Neodiprion lecontei: one gene and its partners. The protein of the gene in region 1 purifies or fractionates together with the protein of each later gene. This does not show direct contact. Links are inferred from orthologs where the notes say so. Each region holds a gene or a part of one and is shown on either strand. Other genes may lie near its edges.

Region 1 (6,787 bases):
ACAACCAAAGCCTGAGAGTTTGTATATGAAAGAAGGGGCAGCTTGTATCCCTTCCGAATTTCCGGAAATGTGGTTATGGTGGCTTTTACAGGCGTTTTTCACAGCCCTGTAATATCCGACCGGAACAACCACGGGTATGTTCCGATATACACTGCGAGCACTGTTCAGTGGTCTTACTGGGGAGAAATTCGGTCCATTATTGGGAAATCATCCACTCAGATACGCTACCTGACGGATCAAATATAAACTACTCTATGCAGGTCAAGCTTAAACTGCTGATATCAAATATAATATGTGAGAAATGTAGTTTAAAAGTGTTAAACTTTTTTTTAAATATTAAGTAATCAATTATTATCTATAAGCTTAGTTATTACTTAAAAACATCTTAAATTTCAATATTTGATCAAAAAATTTAATCATGGAGTTTCCACCACGAGAAAATAAAAATAAAACTTTCTGCTGCGTGTATGGGTGTAATAGCAAGTCTAGTAAGAACAATACAGTTCGATTTTACACTTTTCCTTCGGCAAATTCTAGTTTTGTAGTAATCAAAAATAAATTTGGTGAAGATGAAGTAATTGATCGTCGATTAGCTTGGATAAAAGCATTGAAAATTGGGAATGAGGTTACACAGTCAAAAAAAGTGTTTTCATTACATTTCGCCAAAAATGATTTCATACCAACATGTAAGTAATTACCTATAGAATTTCATTTCATAATTACTTGTTTATCATCAATATGAAATGATATTTTTTGTAGTGTAATATTTGTCAGAAAAAATAAAAAACAATAAACATTAAATTTTATTTTCCATTGCAGCCAATGTTGCGATATTGCACCCACAACTTCATGCGGTGGATCTTTTAAACGAGAAGTTTGGAGACAGAATGCAATTATTTTATACTCATTATCACAACTAGTATCTGATTGCTGTAGGCCACATTTCATTAGATGTCCCGCATCAAGTATATCTTTACCACCAATAAAATTTTTATGACTAGGCTGAGTATTTGCAAACTCACAAATTTCTTGTATTGAAATTTTCATATTTTATTGAATTTTTTTTGAAAATTCGAGTTTAATAACTGTAAATAAATACACGCTTTCACATAAGAACACGAAAGCTGATTTAAAAATGCGTTTTAGAATAGTTACTGCTTCTGCCGCAAGGAGAAGCCACGCCCCCGGCAGATTTCCCAATAGGCTGACAGTATACAGTTGCAGTATCCTAGGGAAATAAATGACGTCATAAATCGTCGTCATTTTTCTACTCTGAACACTGGTGTTTTCGAGGTAAGGTGCTATCAGTGCTTTGCTCACGTGATCAACAGCGTTCAGAAATTTAACAGCTTCCACTATTGATAATTATTATTATTGAATATTGTCATTTAAAAATACCGGTCGTTAAAAACAAATATGGAAAATTTGAATAAATTGTGTTTATTGCAGTGTGAAACAAATATGATGTATGAAATGAAAGTAACGCCAAAAAATGTCGATCACAGTATACTGTACTGCGTTCCGTTTAAACAGTAACCAGTATAGCTAACTATAAAGGACCGGCTTCGCAGTATACTAAATTGACGTCACACCTTACAGTGCTCGCAGTGTATGTCGGAACATACCCCACATGTATATGTAGCTCAGTTCGTTTTAGTTACACTTTTCTACACTTTTTTTACACTTACCCTGAATTTAGCCAATGGAAGGTGCCCTTTCCTAAGGAAAGTGTAAAAAGTGTAGAAATTGTAACTAAAACGAACAGAGCTATCAGGTTTGTTCGTGCTAGCTACACTCTACACTCGCGAGTGTAAACAGAACTACGGTAGTGTACTAGGGATTGCTGGGGAGGTACGTCGGCTTCTCGAGTGTAGCTAACACCCGTATTCATAGTCCCTCCTTATCTCAAGGATAAAGGACGCCTTGATGAAGGCTTCATTAAATCTCAGCGGCGTCCTCGTTTCATAGTCACAACTTGGCTCTCCTTTCCAGAAGGAAGACATATTTAGGGATATGTGATTGCTTATGGTGGTAAAACTGCTGATCGAAGCGCCACTCGGCTATATTTAAATATAACTTAATCCGCTTGGCTCTCATTGTCAAGTTGCGTCGGTTGATTTCACGTTTCATAGACCTTCCTCGACAGAGTAGCCGTATTGGCCTCCTTCTTTCAAGGCAGGTCTCGAGCTTCCTTGAGGAAATCTTCGGCACTGCGATTGGCTGTTTCGTTTCATGTAGCCAACGCTTGCGCTTGCGCTTGGCGTCTATGCACTTATGACCCGTATGACGCAGGATCACAGCCAGTCTACAGGTTAACTTCTTTGAGGTTATACACACTCTCATCACCGACGCAACTTGACAATGAGAGCCAAGCAGATTAAGTTAGATTTAAATATAGCCGAGTGGCGCTTCGATCAGCAGTTTTACCACCATAAGCAATCACATATCCCTAAATATGTCTTCTTTCTGGAAGAGAGAGCCAAGTTGTGACTATGAAACGAGGACGCCTCTGAGATTAAGGAAGCCTTCATCAAGGCGTCCTTTATCCTTGAGACAAGGCGGGACTATGAATACGGGTGTTATTATTTATAAATAGAGGTGCGTTCCGAAACTAACTGTTGACAAGCCTTTATTTCTTTTGCGCTGCCGAGTTCGTAAGTAGCTTTGTCTCTGCCCTAGGGGAGTTTTCAGCGCTACCAGCTAATTCCGGAACGCACCTATAAAATATTCCTCACAGCACTGCGAGCTAACGCATCGGAACCACGACTTTACATGTTTGGATCGGAACGTGATCGGAACGCATTCCTGGTGTATACTGAATACGAATTACCTATTTTATTGGTATTCCTATTGGTTAAGAACTAGGCAGCAGAAGTCCTTCCGCGGTATTTTACTGCCCATGAAAATGCAGACTTCGCATGAGAAAACGCCACGAAGTAATGAAAACGCTATCAAATGACAGCACAAGAAATCATAATAATGAAATAAACCGAACGCTTTGCCCGCCATTTTAATTGATCGTAGTAAATCTGTTATCACCCACATCCATGGTTATTACCTGTTCAGTCGATTCAGATTCTCTCTGCCTTGTGTGTGTCGGTCAATCGTAAATTTGTGAAGAAGCAAGTGCTTGTTTATTCGATCAGTATAAAAGAAGCAATATTTGTAAAATAGTGCGCAGAAGGCTGTAAGCCATGGATTCAATTCCACGAACCCACGAAGGTAGGTTTTGCAAATTAGACTTCACGCTAGCCGAGGCATGACCTGAGCTGAGAATGTTGAATTGATAACGTCGCGCCGACGAAGCTTGACAATATATTGTATTGTATTACTGATGATGCACACTTTCATTTCTTTGCATATTTTCGCCGAATATTTACACTCCCGGCACACACCTAAATAAGCAATATATCCTCTGTAAGAAAGTCAGCCGACATACACACAACACACCTTAAACAGTTGACGGTTATAATTGGTATATAGTTTTTAATAGTTGTATTACAGTCGTACACCGTTATGACCTTTTACATGCATTACAGACATCGAAGCTCAGATCCGTGAAATACAATCGAAAAAGGAGATACAGAATAAAGAGCTGACTGAAAAAGAGCAAGTAGGGTTGGGAAAGACTGGATTCTATGATCAGGACATATACGATGGTAGCAACAACAAATACGATGGTTATGTCACCTCTATTGCAGCTAATGACGAGGTTGAGGTAAATATCTATGTTTATTCGCAAAAACGGATTGCCAAACAAAATTGAAATAGTTTAGGTTGAATGGGGATAATGAAGAATTGAAATAATCAGGTATACGTAAGTCTGATCAAAATATTCTTTTCAGGATGAAGATTATGAACCAAGTACATTTAGTCAAAGCAAGAGGCCAGGCTACAATGCTCCGGCAGCGCTGCTTAATGATGTTGCTCAGGTAAATAATGGTTTACTGAAAATTCGAATGCCAGACCGTCAAAACTTGCAGTATAAGTAAACGAGTTTTGCTTTTGTCTCAGGAGGTCCAACAGGATTGTAAAAATTGTTCATTTTGTAACTATAGAGAAACTGTCCGTTTAAGATTTGAAATTGATCTATTTCATAAGTTTTCCGATACATTCCATTTGCCAAATTTATGGAGAGGCGGCGCAAAAGGGTTGGGGTCAATGAGGGGGTTATGTAACATCAGTCATATTGAAATAGTTGGAATTACTTAAATTGCAGGACCAAAGATGATACTTCCATTTATTTCAAAATGTGACTAATTTTTCATTTCCTGTATGACTACTCGTATTTAATTTCAATAACAAGTGTTATCTAATTATCAATATTTTTCACAATATTCCACAACCTGTTAAGAATGTTTCCTCTCCAATCTGATTTTTTTTTTAATTCATAGGGGTTTCCGCAATCGCTTAGAAGCACCTAATTCTACAAGGTTGAAATTCGTAATGTAAATGTAACAATTACACTTTGTAAAAACCATTAATTATAACTAGGGTTGTCGGAAATTCGGCCAACTATAACAATGCAGAAAACACTCATATTCTTCAAACTCAACTCTTGAAGTTATTTTAATATTGTAAAATAGTGACTTCGTGTTCATTGTTCTATTACATTGGCATTATAGTCGAACCTAGATATATGGCCTTGTCATGGGGCCCGAGAAGAGAAAAAATTCTCTATGAAAAAACTAAAACTAAGGGTTCCTCTTACAATCAAACTAAATCACATCATGCTATTTCTCCTTTAAAATCCATGATTATATTTAACAGCTGAATAATTTTTTCTTCAAAAGTATTCCTTTTTTTAGTTACGCATACCATGTCATTGAACATCTTTTTTCTTTAGTTATTGAATATTTGAGTTTTGCGAATATACTTTTTTTTCTATTAAATATTCACATGAACAGATTTCATCAGTTTGTATAGTACCAAAAAAAAAAATAAGAAATCTAAAAATATCAAGACTGTACAACTGTTTCACAATCCATAACTAAAAAATGATGTTCTGGATATGCTCCGTCTCCATGCATGCTTTCAAAATAAGATTTAGTCATTAATAAAGATATCACTATCTTGTAATATTGAAAAGACTTGAAACAGTTGAGTTCTCACAACAAGAGTATGATTTGCTTTATTGTGGCTTACTTAATTTCAGACAATGCCAAAGTTATGAAATAATAATTTATCCTGAAGGTTCATTGTTACATGATCGTTATCAACTTTAACTTCATCTTTGAGACACTGTCTCCAAGTGTGGCAGTTTTGCAGTGTAGTTGGATACTTCATCTGACTTCAAGTTTTTGGGAAAGTCATTTTAAGATACCATGTCATTCCTGATCGATACTTTTTACAATATCAATAAATTAAATGTTGTAATCCTGTTAAATATTAAGTAATGGTTATGTAATCACTTTCAGAATTTGAAAACTGAAAATATGAAGATATCAATGTTGACATTCATATGAAAAATTGCGGTATTAATCTACAAATGGAAATTTAGCATCTTATCAAAGTTGAGCTTACCTGGGAAAAATGTTTTCATATGATCAGAGAAAGTTCTATGAAATTATATCTAGAATTTGACCTGATGAAAATATATAAAACTATATGCATGTGATTTCACGTGATTTTGTATAATTTTATCTAAGTTAATATTTTCAAATTTGCGTTATAATTTCACATGAATTTATCTGATTATATAAAAACATTTATTCCCAGGTAGATAGAAAGTGATAGTTCAGTTTAATAACGATGCTCTTGAAAATTCAATTTACACCCATTAATATTATCTAATTGTAAGACCCGGATTTGCAGATTGCCATGTAAACATCATATCTAGACCAAGCATTATGTTTAGAAATTTTTTTACATTTCCTGGAAATATCTGTATTTCTCAAGGAATATTTCTTACATTTCAGTAGATACTCTGTCTTGCTTTATTTGATCATCTCCTCGTTGAGTGCTGAGAGTATATTGATACATTGAGATTATTGTAATTTGTATCACATAAACCTCCCTTCAGTTTGCCTTTTTGAAATAGATTTTTTGCTCATTTTGAATAGAGTGAAAAGGACTATGATCCGTTTGCTGATAGACGACGACCGACAATTGCGGATAGAGAAGATGAGTACAGGCAAAAGCGACGACGCATGATCATCTCACCAGAACGTGTCGATCCATTCGCTGAAGGTTGGTAGTATTTTTTGTAAGGCTATAAATTACATTTTAAGTACACTGCAGGTGATTTATATTTATACATTCTATACCCATAAGTACATCATACAACAATTTTATTTTTGTGACTTCATTTTCCAATATATTTTTTAATGCATCCCCTCATTTATTTACTTAATCAGATGTCTCAAGACTAATGCATACGGTTTACACAACCGTGAAGTCAACAATTGATCGGGTTTTGCAGAATTGTTCATTGATGGAAATGTAACATTTTTTTACATCTTACGCAAATTTGTCAGGCATCATAACTATCAGATAATTGAGTGGGTGGATTTAATACTTTAGCGTGCGTCGCTTCATTTACGTGCTTTCATTGAATACTGCTTGGTCGAGTTTAATTAATTTATCACTTTCACATTGCTATTGTTCGTACCTTTCATCATCATATGATAATTTGGGCAATTTCAAATCTTGTTGAAACTTGAAAATCCTTTTTCTGGTTGATGATGTACCATTGAATAAAAATGGGCCTATCTGTTTTCAAGCATGAAGATATTATCCAAAACTACAATCTGCGGCGTGTGACAGTAGGTTAATCAACTTTGACATT
Region 2 (7,047 bases), on another chromosome or scaffold:
CGATGACGGGGAATGGTGACTCCGCTAAGGCGGAGGTTGCTAGATGGTGAAGAATCGGCAACTGCGGCAGCTGTCCTTAGCTGCTGATGCGATGTGGTACGACGTAGAAGACGGATCACGCTATGGTTGACGGTTGATAGAAAGGCGGCCAATCGGATGCAGAGAGGAACACATCCGAATGCCATTGGGACAAAAGGGTTGAGCCCCCGCAACGGTTTCTACTTATAATAATGGGGAATTCAAAGAGACGTGATAAGACTTGTCATATATAGTGCAATTCAACAATTTTCACCTACGCACTTCACTTTTTTTTTTATGTCAAAGTCTGCTTTGTTTTGTTAAATCTACCGCTAAGATCACTACATTACATAGAAGGAATGATACTTCCAAATTTAATTATTAAGGCTGTTACATGATGATGTTGCGATAAATAAATTTCACGTCCTTCAGAAAGGCAATAATACGTTCTGCTTCATTTTTTCCTTGCTGAGCAAGAAATGCATTGTTTGACCAATGAGTAGGATGTTTATGAGTGTTTCAACACCAAATTAGCATCCCAAGATTCATTCATTGTAATAGTAGCAAATTTAAGAATTTAAAGCTATTAGAAGGTGCGAAACTACATCTTATTGTCAATAATATGACAATTCTAGGTTTCTCAGACATGAATGACAATTTTGATCAGGACAATTCTGAAGTTACACAAAATGACGATGCATCAAAAAAGTACAAAACAAGTCTAACCAAATTTGCTAAAATCATACAACTTAAACCCTTCGAAACTTTAATCATAAAGTATTTGCCAAAATGTTTTCTGTAATCCATGATAAAATTCTTGAACTGGAAACATTCATATCAAATCAGGTGCTACATAAACGATGAATTCATTCCAAAGATATGTGGGACTTTTACCCGAAATATGGATTTATGCTTTCACAGTTCGAGTGTTTTAGTTGATTTGAACAATAAAAATCAAAACAAAAGTAATCAAATCATTAAACTGATTTTTATCAATGATAATACAATTATTATTTTTTATTGCGCAGTAATTCTCTTGGTCAGGGGCCATATCAGACAGACTACTGTAAATTTACAAGATTGAAGTCAGTGATATTACTGTAACAAAACATTGAAAAAAAGATTACTAGGTTGCAATTGTAGATTGACTTCGAAAAAGTTTAGTTTCCAAAGTATGAAAAATTTTGCCTTACGATGTACTGAATTTCAAAAAATCCCAACGTTACAGAATAGCGTATTTTGAAAAAAAAAAATAATGTATTATTATATTAATATTCCAAACATCAACCTCATGTCTATTTATCAAAAGATCTTATAACGTGGACTGATTGTTTCAACTATTTTTTGAATCTACGCTCAATTGGAAGAAAAAACCAATGTATTTGTATAATATTTACTAGAAAGACTGTTCTTTGAGCCCTGAATTTATTTTTCTGCGTTATAAGTATGTTTTTAAAATTAAATGACTGGTGTTTTGAAACAGAAACAGAGATACTCATATTTGAGATGTGGAAATACATCATTGGACAAATTTCTTTGAGGAAACATTCTAGACATGTGATCGCCATCGCCATTGCCAAGCGTTTCTTGCAATTTTTATCGAACTCCATGATTGTGTACAGCAGAATTATTGAGAAAACTGCATACCATAATTCAGTTATCACCCAACAGAATTACTGAGCCAAATTTCTTCGTTGAAGTTATTGAAAACTTAATGAAAAACACCTTACAATTATCGGTTTGACATTTTTGTAACTGTCAAGATGAAGTGCACATAATTCATTGGTACGAGCAGCTGAGTGTGATCGCATATCTTTTTGTCCGGACTATATCTATGATAATGTGTGTCAAAGTAAATGTTCTATGCTGAGGGGAAAAAGCCGAGTATACAAACTGCTTATTCAATTATTTAGACCATTCTATCCATTTAAATCAAAAAGAAAATAAGTAACGATTTAAAACAAAAAGGATATTCTAAATGTTCTTACCTTTTCCTCCAGCTGGTTGTAGACGAACTCAACCACTACATCATCTTCCATGCCAAGGATCTGATTTATTTTGGTAGTAATCCAGGGCTTAATAACGTCCAATTTTACTTTGCTCATGTCTACCTGTAATTTGAAATTATTTTTTTTCAATACTCGTACCGTATCATTCACTTTTGATTGAAATAAAATGATCTAGTAACCTACTCACAGCTAATAAAGTACAAGGTTGAACTTAGTAACGTAATTTATTACAAGGTTGAAGTTAGTAACGTTAACGTATGAAAAAAATCATTATTGCGCAATTTTAGAATAACTTTGAAGGAGTTGGCTTTTTAAAATAAGAGTATGTTTACTTGATCACAGTTTACTACATTTCAGACATTCCTAAAGGTGCAAAGTAATGATTTATCCTAAACATGCATCGTTACAGTAATGTTACCAACTTCATCCCTATAATTTATTGATGTCCTGTTCAAGTAGAGACAAGAAAATCACTAAGTTTTCAGTGTTAGCAAACTACGTACCAAGTGACGTTACACATGATTCGTTGACATTAATTCAAAATACATTACCGATATGCAATGGTATTGAAAGACGAAATATTGAAACTAATTACTGTCCGTTTACTAAAAGAAAGGTTAGAGATGAATCCTAAGAAACCGGATGAAAAAAATACACAAGTATTGGCTTGACAGTAAGATCGTCATTATAGAATAAAGGTTCATTAGATGTGATGACACATGACTATTGATAAGAGTGAATATGTGAATATGTTAAAATATCACAAAAGTGCCGCGTGCTGCAAGGGAGTTGCGTTTCATGTATATTTCACAACACTCTAAACGCGTCAGACATTGACAGCATGGTTCTTACTTCATGTGTATGTTTTGGATTTGGATTGCAACCGAATATAATAATTCATAAAAGCTTTGACTGCAGTTCAACTGATCTATGCTTGTCCGGACATCGGTTAAAAATTCAGGACACGTCCGCAGCATTAAAATATTAACGGAAAGTATTTCAGTTGTGAAAATTGACTGAAAGTGGCGAGTCACTCACGAGGGGCTTCGAATGAAACCCCATTATGAAATACTAATATATTTTTAGTTGGATCTGGAAAGTTCAATTGCTAAGTAGAACCCTACCTTTTGGGTTAGAGAATCACCAAATTTCATCTGCTTCAACAATTTCTTCTCCTTATCGCTGAACCGCGTATCCTGCGATGCCGTGGTCCCCTGTAAATACATATGCAAAAACAGTTAGTGAAGATAACACACAATGTAAAGATGTGATATTGTATGAAAAATACGCGCAAGATCTCACCGTGTACATCATCTCTGCCGGTTGTTACAATCGCTGCTAAGCCTGAAATTGGACGAGGGCGAAAGGCCTGCTGCGCGTTGTGTACGCTCGGGAACAGTAAACCTGTATTTTAAAGTTGCAGAAGAAACGGCATAATGACGTTGAGTCACTAGAAAATATAATTTTAGATGGTGGAGTGAAACGTACCCAGTCGATGATATTTTTAGCGACAAAATATGTACGATTATTTCGTTTCAGCACACATTCGCGAACAACAGTTGACTCTGCGATACTAGTCAATCTAACAACATGGCTAATGGCTGCGGCGATGCTGCTTACTTTTCCTGCTTACATTGCTGCCGCACGGTGTTGCCAGATGGTACACGTAATGCGTCTATTGGCCGACGACGGCGCGATCTACCGGCTATTTCCTGAGTTATTCTCTCTGGCCGCGGTTTGGGACCATAGACTTAATTAATTTGGAACCAAGCGCGGATTTGGACGGCTGCCGATCAGTCTGCTCAGTGGTCTGCTCATGTCCGCTCTGTGAGTTCGGTAAGATTACGTATACGGGAATCATTAGAAGAAACTTCAGAATCTAAACAAATGGATTCAGAAAAAATGGAAGATTCTCCACTTTGGTAAGTGTATAATATAGTTCGTTGTCGCCTTCACCAGCCAGCTTTGACATGGACAAAATGTGTCGTTTGGCCGTTTCAGAATTTTTCAAATCGTTCAATGCATTAATTAAGAGTCAACCGTGTCATGACAAATATTTCGGGAATATGTCCTTGCGCCTAAAGAAGTCAGATCGCTGCATCAGACACACTCGACAGTTTCATAGGGTTCGGACGCTATACTTTGTTGTGTAATGACTGGATTAATTCTCGTAAAAACAAAACCCGAGAAAATAGATACGAGAAAATATTACCCCGAATTATTCATTTTGATCAGAATATTTGTCATCGGTTTATCACGTTCTTAAGCAGTAACACCAGTCTCGGATTTTAGAAATTTCGATTTCTTTTATATTCGGCTTAAACAATACTTTGGGGTCATGAAAACAATATCCAGTTGGTCCTATAGTGAAAAAAAAATGTTAAAAGCTTCAATTCTCGTTTTTGCCACAGTGTATCGGAGCGCGCGCTGATCGTGAGTGCTCGTAAAACTTTAAACGCAATTTTTTCGAAACCACTTTTCAAAGTGGAAGGACAGATTACTTGAACACCGTTGTATGGATCGATTTGAAATTTTGACAATCGCTTCACAATACATTCTATATGGAATTACGTCGCCGTTTTTTTATTTAATGTAAATTTTGTTTTTTTTTCAATTTATTGCTTATTGATTGGCCAAAAACCTACTCATTTCTTTTCAAACGTGCACCATTTCTACAAAATTAGATTGAAAAAAAGCCCCTGCGTGCTTCCAGAACAATAGGATACATGTAGATTATAAATTTTTTTTATATCTTGTGTCAGGTCTTATAGTTTATGAGAAATCCATCCTCTCGTGAAGGAGTTTTAAAGAAAGGCTAAAAAATTATATTAGCCAAAAGTATTGACTTTTGACAGGTTTACTTAATGGTATTTCTTATGTTTTTATTTGACACCTTTATTTTCATCCCGCTTTCTGCCTGTGGACAATACTTTTACCGAATTTTGCGAGGAGAGGCCCTTTTATGATCAGTGTGCTTAATTGTTCCATCTATGGACCCACTTATAAACTGACCATTTACAATCTACTTTTTTAACATTGCATATGAAATATTGTACTTCCAACTTTTGTGAGTTCTTACGAATACATAATTTTTTGCATAATGCACCTGTTATATAAGAAATCAAAATTATATATGCAACCTCAATTTCACGTGATTAAATTTCAATAACTACTAACATAGTATCAATATTTCAGATGCCTTGTATGTGTTTATTTTCACAATTTTTAAATATCAAATTAGGTAACTGATTCATCAATTTAAAAAGATTCCATCAAATCGATTATCATGTGACTACTTTATAGGAAATTCTGATTTTTGACACGTGGTGTAGGTTTATGAATAGCTATACATAAACGTGTCTAATAGTTCGATGTTCGATTGCGCAACTTTGAAACAAAGCACAAAATCAACGCAGATAATTATCTGGCAACAAGCTAGTTGGTGGTGCAAGTGTGGAGGTCATTACCGTGGTGGCATACACCTCAGTCATGATCGGATTGTATGCTTTTCACTCAATGAATGTTGAATGAGGATTTGAAATATACCTGTTCAATGACGTGTCTCCTGCCATTAGATTTGCACGTCAAGTAATAAACCTAGACTTTTATTTGAATAGTTGCATCAATGAGGCTAACAGAAAATAAAACTCAAACATTTATTAAAAAATTTTTACTGTGCTTTCAAATTACATATATGTTGTTATGTAATACTAAGAAATACAAGTTCAGCACTCTTATGTTTATGATTATAACACAGCCACAGTTTGTACCAAAAATTACTTATATGCAACAGAAATAAAAAGTATGTTCGAATATACGTTCTTAGATAAATAACTAAAAAGTTAATTCATTTCTCATAAGTATTTGAATGTCCTACTGGCAGTTAAAATTAATTCTTGATCTGAAGAACAGACAGTATATTAAATGAAATTATATAGGTCAGATATTCCATTTGCAATTAATGAATTAGTTGCAGTTCAAGTTAATTTGATATTGTCAAATTATCAAATTCATATTAAATAAAAATAAATAAGTCAATTTAAATAATTAGTGAAAATTTAAAAGCAAATATCAATTATATTGATATACCTTTGAATGTGGACAATAATTTGCATAGATATCCATTTTATGACGAATGAATCATTCACAAATAGTCATTGATTATGATCAAGAACTTGCAGAGCACGATGCAGGGTAGAGGATGCCATTAAAATTTGTTTAGTACATAGAATACTCCTGGATGTAAATATGTCCATAGGGTTCAGCTTGAAGCAGTTTCACTTGTTTTGATTTATGCAGTTCTGAAATTCGAATCCAATGAAGAACCATTTCAAATTATCTCACCGAATAAAATATCATTACAGCAGATATAATTGTTTTATTTTAAAATTATTTACATATCAATAAAGGTAGAATCTTTGAATTATCGATTAAAATATTCTCTCTCCATTAATGTATTTTTATACAACTAGTTGAAAATTTAACTAATTCCATTTTTTGTAAATAATGAAGAATAACAGCATTTAAACTTGCAAGAAGAACTATTGGGCCCTTTTTTCAATAAATGAAAACTAAATCTTAAATTATTTAATAAATTTTCAGCTCCTTTATTCTTAGTTAATGTTCTGAAAGAGTCATAGTATATAATTTCATGTGTTCGAATATCGGATAGCATTAACATGGAATTCCATTGTTATAATTGTTACCATAGCTTTGATGTTTTTATATTTTTATATGCAATAATTGTTCTATCGATAGACCCACTTTTCAACTGACCATTTATAATATATTTTTTCACATTCCGTGTAAAAGATTCTACCTCCAACTTATGTAAGTTCTTATGAATACATAATATTTTTTGCACAGTGCACCTATCATGTTATAAGAAAGCAAAATTTCATACGCATAATCTCAATTCCATATGATTAAATTTAAACAACTATCTGTTGTACATGAAAATTATTCTACTAACATAGTATAAATAATTTGAGATGAATTGTATGTGATTGTTTTCGCAATT
Region 3 (9,183 bases), on another chromosome or scaffold:
TGTATATAAATATAGTTAGTTGAATTTTATCGAAGAATCAATTTTGTGGAAGAAAAACGAATTGCGAAGAAAACGTGATAAGAGAAAAATCTTTATTTTTCTTGCAAAAATTTAGAGATACAAATAATAAAAGAACAAAATAGAACTTTACATGCATTGTAATGTTTGATATCAAATAGCAAATTGTTAAGTTGTAAATTAATTATTTCACTCAATCGATAATATATTTCCATACACAAAGCGCCTGGTGATTGATTTGATTTGGAAATAAATTCAATGCCATTGATATAGCCGAAAATATCGCTAACAGCAGTGTACAAAACAAAGTGACTTTTGAATCGACACCACAGAGACAATGAATAGAAAGAAATTTATTTTTTCTCTAGTGATTTTAGTACTGCGTTTTAAACATTAAAGAAGAAAAGACGATCAAATCCAGCCCGAAACTACGGCATAGTACACTTACATGGGCAGTGAAGAGCGTTATCGAAGGGGAGAAAATTTTTATTTAACATCCCTTTTTTTTTCTTCTCTTTTTGTTTAACGAATGATTGTAAATGAATACAAATTACATGAATGTGTAGAAGCGCGGTGATGAAAAAAAAAGGAAGAAAAATTTAATAATAATATTGGTTAATGATAAAATAAGGAGGAAGAAAAAAAATATTTAATTAAATAAATCTTAAAATTAGAAAAGAACTTGGATTAATTTTCACGCTCAATTCCCTTACCCGATCGGGGTGCATTTATTTAATTATAATCACCCGTCATTCTGGCAATGATACATTTCAATGATATGCCACCATAGCTTTGTATGTTAAAATTGATACGAGTACAGAATTCGGTTGTGAATCGAATACATCTGCAAAAAGGTTACAAAACTGTATGCATGTGTTAAAAAAATTGCTTATCATAATATTTTGATAAAATCGCATTTAGTAGCTTTCTGAATAGCAATTCATCTGTAAGTGTTCGTCGTGCGTATAAACATCCATTTGATACTATCTTTGTTCACAAGCCATTGACAATATTATTGAAAAAAATCAGCTTAACTGGAAACCTATTTATTTTATATGTAAGATTCATAATATCGCTACTAATATCGTCTTAGTTGACATTACGATAAACAACGTCTATTATTATCATTAATATCATTAATGCTATTCTAAATATTGGATCATCATAGTTTAATGTTTCTTTGTCTTCGAACGAAGATGAAAAAAACATTTTAACTTGGACAAAGAGTGAAAATTGTGTACACCGAATGGTCTTTTTAAAAGAAATTGTTCATATTATTTCCAGTAACGTGTCATTTGATCATTTGCGGACTACTTCGGCTTTCAGTCTGGCTGCGAGAGCCTTGCGAACTTGAATTTTCGAATCTTCCATCAAGAGTTGCGGCGACTCCAAGTCCTGCATGCCCATCATCGACGCCTCTGCTACCACTCGTGCCGATCCGGGACGAGCCGCGTTTGTCTTCAGACGCTGACTACGAGCCTCCTTCTTCATTGAGACCAGCTTGTCTCTCTGAGTTTTCAGGTATATTTGGCGCTTCCTAATCTCCTCCTCACCAGCCTCGAAACAGAAGACAACATATAAGAAGAAGAAAAGAATGAGGCTTCAATTGTCACTTCGAAAGTTGATGTCTCCACTCACATCGGACAGTTTGCTGCGGCTCGCCGCGGGCAGCAGTGCAGGATCCAAACTCTGCTACGAAGAAGGAACGAATTGAATTTCAATAATGCATGGTATATTTCTTACGTACTTTTCTGTCACTGTTTTTTGTCACCAACTCAATTTCTTCTCCTATTTTATCTTCGCCTGGTTTTTTCAGTTTTTGCGGTATCGGTTGCAAAACGCCAAACTTCTTGGATTTCAAAGCTGTGTTTGTCAGCTGGAGAGGTTCAACGCTGACTACTTCTTCCGTTTCTCGTCTCTCCTGCTCTGGCGAAAAACCCGACGACGATTTTGCCAATGGTTCTTCCATCAGTGCTCGCTCCAGCAGCTGTCTCTCCGTCTTGTACTGTGTCGCCAAACGCTGGTGCTCCCTACGCATTGCCTGATCCGATTCCTGCTCCGTATTCGTTTCATCCTCAAGCTTGTACTGTTTCCTGAAATTGAAACAAACTCGTCGTGACCTCGCAGCCTCACGTCCATCATTCTTAATTTTCAATCTACACCCACTGCAGCAGCTCCTCCATCACCAGTTCGTCCCGTAGACAGTCTTCATCACATATTAGCGACGCTGGAGTCAGGCCGTACTTCTGTTCAATCAAACTCAGTGCCTGCAACTGGAGTTCCAAGTTCTTCTGAATCATCATCCTCTTAAATATCTCGTACTCGTTTGCAGCCCAGATCTGCTCGAAGAGACTCTGCAATTGCGTTTTAGAAGGTTTTATAATTTTTAACATTCTCTATCTCGTTTTGCATCGAGAACTATTTTTACTCTGATAGAGAAGAGAAAATACAAGTGAACATCGAGTGTTCGTTCACCTGCTGAAACTGTATCGGCATTTTTGTGTTCTTGTTTAATGTACAGGCATGCTCAAACTGCTCGGGAGTTATGCCCATGTCCTCCATGTAGCAGCCAAGGAGAAGATCTACCAGGTTTTTATACTCTTGGTAGATGTGGCGATACTCCTCGCTGTCCTCCGTCTCACCGTCGAAAACTAAAAGGGGAGCAAGAGGCGTAAAATGAGTCAGGCTAATCGATAGACGTAAGTAGCATTGAATTCTTTTAATGTAATGGCAATCCGATAATTCTTACTCAGCGATTTTTCTTCTATGAAAGTTAACAATGGTGCCGACCAGATCGGACCCTGCAGAAATCCCACCAGCGAATCAAACACCCAGGAACTGTCATCCTTTTCACTCATAATTATTTTTTTTATTCAGACTTCTCTATCAACCTGTCACTACCGTAAAATTTGTCATCAGACTTCTGTAATGTCAGGCTTGTCGCCATGGCAACAACATCTAAACATTGGTAGTGAAACGTCGCAGCTGACACAGTAGCAGTGTTCAAATCGGAACATTTTGCAATTTCTTGATCCGGAGGGATATTCATTAAAAAAAAAAATATGTAATTTAGAGAATGCAATTTTTTCGGTAAATGCAAAACATCGACACTTTGTCAAAAGAAATGATCATGAATAATTATTATAGCAAGAATATTTGTCATCCAGTTATAATTATTTAATTGTACGCAAACTCATAGATGAAACTTAAAAACAAGCTTGAAGCGTTACCGGTAAAAGAAATTCTTTGATGATATAATTAATTAGTCATATTGATTCATTTTGAATATTTGAAACATGCATTTTGTTCAAGATTCAAAAATGTCTGGTCGTTCTTCCCGCTCCTTACAGGATTCCGATAAAATAAAAAATGGCGACTATAGAGCCAATCAGATGACGAAAAAAAGCCGACATGGCCGACGACTCGCGATTGGTTTTTGTTTTCCCGCGAAAAAACGGGGCCTCGTCAAAGTTAACCTAACCTGACCTGTTGTTTGTGCATGTTTCGCGTTACAATAAAAATAGGCGTCTGTATAAAAGACTTGTAGTTAGCGAGCAATAATAACGATGGAGGGGTTTGATCGGCCAGATACATTCTTTGTGGAACATTTTTCGACCGAAGAACCGGACGATGGAAAGCAGCTAAAATTAAAACAGTGCAAACAGAAGTTCAAGGAGTTTATCCGGCAATTTCACGAGGGCAATTTCAACTACAAATATCGGTAAGCTTTCTCAGCTAAAATCATACATCATACGTCATATCATGTTATAATATCATATCATCATATCATATCATATCATACATCATCATACATCATACATAGTATATTAAATTAAAATTCGGAATCAAAATTTGGATATTCGGTTGACAAGCACTCCGTAGTTCTGGCTGTCCAGGTCCTTGACCTGGTGATTTTGACCAAGTTTTATCATTGTTGAATTTTTTTTAATGATTTTCGTCTCAATTTAAGGGCATACCGACTGAGATGGTTTGCGATGTATAGAATTCATTGCACAGTCGTAGGTTCTTACGTCTATTCAGACGTATCCGACCCCGAGCGAGCTTTAGCGAGCGAGGGTTTTAAAGCTAGTCTTGAATGAAGATGATACATTTGCTCGATCGAAGATTTGCCAATAGTTTTTGTTATCGTTAGTTAATTTCGACGTCGTTTGCAGGGACGCCTTGAAACGGAACTATAATTTGGGTCGGTATTGGGTCGAAGTGAATCTCGAGGACTTGGCTGCATTCGATGAATCCCTCGCAGAGAAAATATATAAACAGCCCCTTGATTATTTACCAGTTTTCGAGGAGGCTGCCACTGATGTTGCTGACGAACTCACCGCACCTAGACCTCAGGATGAAGAAAAGGTCGAGGACATTCAGGTTCTCCTTTCATCCGATGCAAACGCTACTCCTTTCAGGGGGATGAAGGTACGCGCATGTAGATTTATTTCAATCTCGTGCAAAACGGTGGTCTTCTCAATTTCAACGTTGAATTCCAGCAAAGACGATTGTGCTGCTGTGTTTTTTCTGCCACTAATACAAACATCTGTTATTTACAGCACGATGTTGTCTCCAAGCTCGTTAAAGTACCTGGAATCGTAATATCTGCGTCAGGAATCAGGGCAAAGGCGACAAGAATCGCGATACAATGTCGAACCTGCAGAAACGTCGTGCCTGACATAGCCATTCAACCAGGCTTTGAGGGTTACCAAATGCCACGGAAATGTAACACGTTGGTATTATTTCCTTGATCGCGATGAAGATAATCTACCTAACTCGAGTAAAAAGCAATTCTAATCATTTATTTTCATACCAGTCAGCAGACAGGAACAGCCCTAAAGTGCCCGTTGGATCCGTACTTCATAATACCAGACAAGTGCCGATGCGTCGACTTCCAGGTGCTAAAGCTGCAAGAATTACCGGACAATATTCCCCAGGGTGAAGTGCCCAGGCACTTGCAGCTCTATTGCGACCGCTATTTGTGCGAAAGAGTTGTGCCAGGAAACAGAGTCCTCATACTCGGCATTTATTCGATAAAGAAAATCGATAAGACTGGAGGACGACGCGAAACAAGGAACAAGGCAGCAGTAGGCGTTCGAGCGCCGTATATCAGAGTCGTGGGGATTTCCGTGGACGGTGACAACACTGGAAGTGGTGAGCGGTCGTTTAATTTTACCTTATTCAATTCTGAGCTATCATCTGATATCTTTCGTCACCTCATCAGGTACGCAAGCGCCGTTTACCGCGGCCGAGGAGGACGTGTTTCGCCGTCTGGCTGCCGATCCTGAAATCTATGATAGGATATCTAGAAGCATTGCGCCGAGCATTTTCGGCGCTGAGGACATGAAGAAGGCCATCGGCTGTCTGCTCTTCGGCGGCTCGAGAAAGAAAATGCCCGACGGCTTGTGCCGCAGGGGCGACATCAACATTCTCATGCTCGGCGATCCTGGAACGGCCAAATCCCAGCTCCTAAAATTCGTTGAACGCGTTGCTCCCGTCGCCGTTTACACTTCAGGAAAGGGTAGTTCGGCCGCAGGTCTCACCGCGTCCGTTACGCGCGATCCATCGACGGTGAATAGCTTTCAACAGTACCCCCCCCCCTTTCTTCCGCCTTTTTTTTTTGTACCCTAATTACAGCTGTTGATCGATATTCCTTAGAGAAATTTCGTCATGGAAGGTGGAGCGATGGTGTTGGCCGATGGTGGAGTCGTCTGTATAGACGAGTTCGATAAGATGAAGGAGGATGACAGAGTCGCGATTCACGAGGCGATGGAACAGCAAACAATATCGATAGCGAAAGCTGGGATAACGACGACCCTGAATTCGCGATGCTCGGTTCTTGCCGCAGCCAATTCGATATTTGGCAGATGGGACGACACCAAGGGCGAGGAGAACATCGACTTCATGCCTACCATATTGTCCAGATTCGACATGATCTTTATTGTCAAAGATGAACACGATCAGGCCAAGGATATCACACTGGCTAAGCACGTGATGAAAATACACACCAACGCCGGTCAGATCACCGAGCAACAAGCTGACGGCGAATTATCATTGAACCTAATCAAGAAATACATTCATTACTGCCGAACGTGAGTGCTTCACATACTTTTTCGAGCAGAGTTAAATTTTCGTAATCGTTTTTTAACTACTAATTGATTCATAGGAAATGCGGCCCAAGAATAAGCAAGGAAGCTGGCGAGAAGTTGAAGAATCGTTATGTTATGATGCGCAGCGGTACTAGGGAGCACGAAAAAGACACCGAAAAGCGACCGTCCATACCAATAACCGTTCGTCAGCTCGAAGCCATCATCAGAATAACAGAATCTCTTGCTAAAATGAGGCTACAGTCGTTTGCCACCGAAAATCACGTCAACGAGGCCCTCAGGCTCTTTCAAGTGTCGACGCTGGATGCTGCCATGAGCGGATCTTTGGATGGTAAGTTGCAAAAAAAATTTAATTGTATTTAACATGTTTCTACTTAAATTCGCGCTTGTTTAGGAGCGGAAGGCTTTACAACGGACGAGGAGCACGAGATGTTGACGCAGATTGAGAAACAACTGAAACGGCGTTTCGCTATCGGATCTCAAGTGTCTGAGCAGAATATCGTTGCTGATTTCACCAAACAAAAATATCCCGAACGCGCAATCTACAAAGTTATTCACACGATGATAAGACGCGGCGAACTACAGCATCGCATGCAGCGAAAAATGCTCTACAGGCTTTCTTAAACTACACGCCATTAGAGAGATGCACACAGGTGGTAAATTTTTTTAATGTTCGTTTTATTTTACAGTTCATTTTTATTACGGCAAGATTCTGAACTGACTATTTGTTAATGGTCCAACTCGTCCTTAAACGGGTAATGCGGATGTTTTTCGACCCTGAAAAAAGCAGGTAACAAGGGGACAAGTTGATGACGGAAATCAAGAAGAATCTTCGAATTGAAAAAAGTTTCACTTTTTTCTACTCACCCCTTGAAGAACAGAAAGTGAAAAATTCTCCCGTCCACACCGCGATCCAGCACGTCTAGCGAGTTCATCTCGGTTTGTGTTAGTTCGAAATCGAATAGATCGATGTTTTCCTTGATCCGCTGGGGACTGGCACTTTTCGGTATAACAACGACGCCCGCCTGCACAAGGTGGCGCAGCAAAACTTGAGCCGTCGTCTTGCTGTGAGCCGCGGCAATTTCTTTAACGACCGGATGACCCAGAAGATCGGGAAACTTCTCCGCGTTGTAATTGTACTTTGTTTGAAAATGAGTTTTCGCTCCGGGTGAGGCCAGCGGACTGTAAGCGGTCACCGCGATGTTGTACCCTTTGCACAGCTCGCGCAATCGCTTTTGTTGCTGATAGGCGTGGAGCTCGATCTGCGATTGAAATTATAACGGATTTTGTTCTTTGAAATTATAATATATTTTATTTCTGTTTTACCTGTAAGTTACTTGGTTTTATGTCAGCATTATCCCAAATTTCCGTTAATTGTTTATCATTGAAATTGCTCAATCCGATCGATTTTGCTCTACCATTTTTAACCTGTTTTTCCATTTCCTGTGCAAACGATGAAAGTTATTTTGAGAATTCACGGCTTGATTTTTTCTTACATCAATCATTTCTGTTACCTTCCATACAGAGACGGGGTCCGTGTTTAGATCCAGCTTGTAAAAACCGTCTGGATCAATCGTCGGAGCGTATCCATTGGGGTCCTTAACAAATGCAAATGGCATGTGGATCAAGTACATGTCTAAGTAATCAAGTTGTAGCTTTTCCAATGACAATTTGATGAACTTCTCAACGTCGCCTGGTCTGTTTCCGTAATGGGGGAGCTGCAAAATAATTTCAAACTATGGAAATATCGAAGTGGCGTAGCCGCAGACGTCCATGAATGTCCCGTACTCCGTATGTATTTTCTTTTCTATACTGAATGATATCTTGTACTTCATAAAAAAAATTAATCCGAGTATTCAATAAACGAAACAAGATACTCAAGAGATTCACACTTTTGACGTAATGAAGAGATCGCGACGTTGACCGCCCTTGTCAAACCATTTTTTCAAGCTTCGTCCAATGGCCTCTTCATTATTGTAATTGAAAGCCGTGTCGATATGCCTGTACCCGTTTTCCAGCGCGGCTTCGACGGCCTTTTCAATTTCCTCGGGCCCTGACTGAAATATAAATATTTTTCGGGACTGTTATCAAATTTTATGAAATGATCAATTGACGATCTTTAATGTTTTTAGACCACGTGTCGCAAAATTTTTTGTGTTACAATTTACCGAGAAGACGTAACACAATCACCTGCCATGTCCCAAGTCCGACTGTCGGAATCTCGAAGTTCGATGACAATCGTATATTTTGCATCGCTGTTACAGCCGCCGGTATTCCCTTCGAATAATGCAGTGATAGGACAGCGGATAACCCGATTCCAAGTCCGGAAGTATTCCTCCTGAAAAACGTGTTGCATAACTCGATTATTTTTAGCCACGCTGGGCTTGTGCAAAAAATTATATGTATGTCTGTTCAACATAGGAGGGTATGCAATTTAATTTGTACCTAAATCAATAAGCGTTTCAGCTCCGATTTAAATGACGATGGACAGTAGGATCGGTTAATCACCGTTTTGTTGCCTGCGCGATTTACCAGGCAACGATTGCGATTTATACCGGTTACTAAGTATTGTTTAAATAACATTCAAACTACGTTGATCAATCTGCTTGTTCTATCGCGGATTCTGCGTTCCGTTAAGCGCTATTTTTAACCATCGTAAAAGTTTGATGTTTGCGTTTGACTAAGTTTTGAAATACTGGCGCCGCGCCAGTCCCTGACGTTTAACGGTTCGTCACGTCGACGACAGATGGCGGGTGAAACAAATTGCACTGCCAGTCTTGCTCTGCGCCGTGACTGGTTCAGGAAACACGCTTAGCCAATCATAGTACAGAGCATTAGGTGCTACTGCCATGGGTAGTGTTAAAAAAGCTCAATGATATATCAGCGAGAGGGAAAAACTGCGAATTACGTAAAGTTTTCTTCAACGCGTGAATTTGATTTTTCGTTTTAACGGATTCGACAATAGCAATTTCAATTGGAAAACAAAGCGAGACGCTTGAAAAGAAGTAACCAAATTCGGATCGTACACACCACATTCTGTTCGAGATGCGGTAAA

What was found. Proteins that work in one complex are often made in the same cells at the same time.
Region 2: the proteins of splicing factor 3B subunit 1 (region 1) and serine/arginine repetitive matrix protein 1 purify together in Homo sapiens (co-immunoprecipitation; 3 studies listed by BioGRID and IntAct, with this or other methods). This does not show direct contact. The link is inferred for Neodiprion lecontei from reciprocal best matches to the Homo sapiens genes SF3B1 and SRRM1.
Region 3: the proteins of splicing factor 3B subunit 1 (region 1) and DNA replication licensing factor Mcm5 purify together in Homo sapiens (affinity purification with mass spectrometry; 4 studies listed by BioGRID and IntAct, with this or other methods). This does not show direct contact. The link is inferred for Neodiprion lecontei from reciprocal best matches to the Homo sapiens genes SF3B1 and MCM5.

The regions. Positions count from the first base shown.
Region 1 is NC_060262.1:17,196,452-17,203,238, forward strand, and holds the start of splicing factor 3B subunit 1, read left to right. Parts: upstream 1-2,971; 5' UTR 2,972-3,194; coding exon 3,195-3,222; intron 3,223-3,539; coding exon 3,540-3,718; intron 3,719-3,845; coding exon 3,846-3,932; intron 3,933-6,062; coding exon 6,063-6,189; intron 6,190-6,211; exon of another isoform or gene 6,212-6,787. UniProt on the Homo sapiens protein: Component of the 17S U2 SnRNP complex of the spliceosome, a large ribonucleoprotein complex that removes introns from transcribed pre-mRNAs.
Region 2 is NC_060260.1:24,701,648-24,708,694, forward strand, and holds the start of serine/arginine repetitive matrix protein 1, read right to left. Parts: upstream 3,673-7,047; 5' UTR 3,516-3,672; intron 3,432-3,515; 5' UTR 3,342-3,431; coding exon 3,330-3,341; intron 3,242-3,329; coding exon 3,152-3,241; intron 2,130-3,151; coding exon 2,007-2,129; intron 222-2,006; exon of another isoform or gene 1-221. Other genes in the region: uncharacterized protein LOC124293066, read right to left, coding at 6,246-6,328. UniProt on the Homo sapiens protein: Part of pre- and post-splicing multiprotein mRNP complexes. As a component of the minor spliceosome, involved in the splicing of U12-type introns in pre-mRNAs. Involved in numerous pre-mRNA processing events.
Region 3 is NC_060266.1:1,281,572-1,290,754, forward strand, and holds DNA replication licensing factor Mcm5, read left to right. Parts: upstream 1-3,417; 5' UTR 3,418-3,584; coding exon 3,585-3,739; intron 3,740-4,193; coding exon 4,194-4,449; intron 4,450-4,580; coding exon 4,581-4,753; intron 4,754-4,837; coding exon 4,838-5,175; intron 5,176-5,245; coding exon 5,246-5,592; intron 5,593-5,679; coding exon 5,680-6,113; intron 6,114-6,187; coding exon 6,188-6,459; intron 6,460-6,522; coding exon 6,523-6,752; 3' UTR 6,753-6,781; intron 6,782-6,785; exon of another isoform or gene 6,786-6,856; coding exon of another isoform or gene 6,857-6,905; intron 6,906-6,995; coding exon of another isoform or gene 6,996-7,390; intron 7,391-7,454; coding exon of another isoform or gene 7,455-7,571; intron 7,572-7,642; coding exon of another isoform or gene 7,643-7,846; 3' UTR 7,847-8,011; downstream 8,012-9,183. Other genes in the region: cilia- and flagella-associated protein 36, read right to left, coding at 1,318-1,575, 1,657-1,710, 1,766-2,111, 2,185-2,372, 2,494-2,669, 2,768-2,876; 1,5-anhydro-D-fructose reductase, read right to left, coding at 6,857-6,905, 6,996-7,390, 7,455-7,571, 7,643-7,846, 8,021-8,185, 8,319-8,466, 9,159-9,183. UniProt on the Homo sapiens protein: Acts as a component of the MCM2-7 complex (MCM complex) which is the replicative helicase essential for 'once per cell cycle' DNA replication initiation and elongation in eukaryotic cells.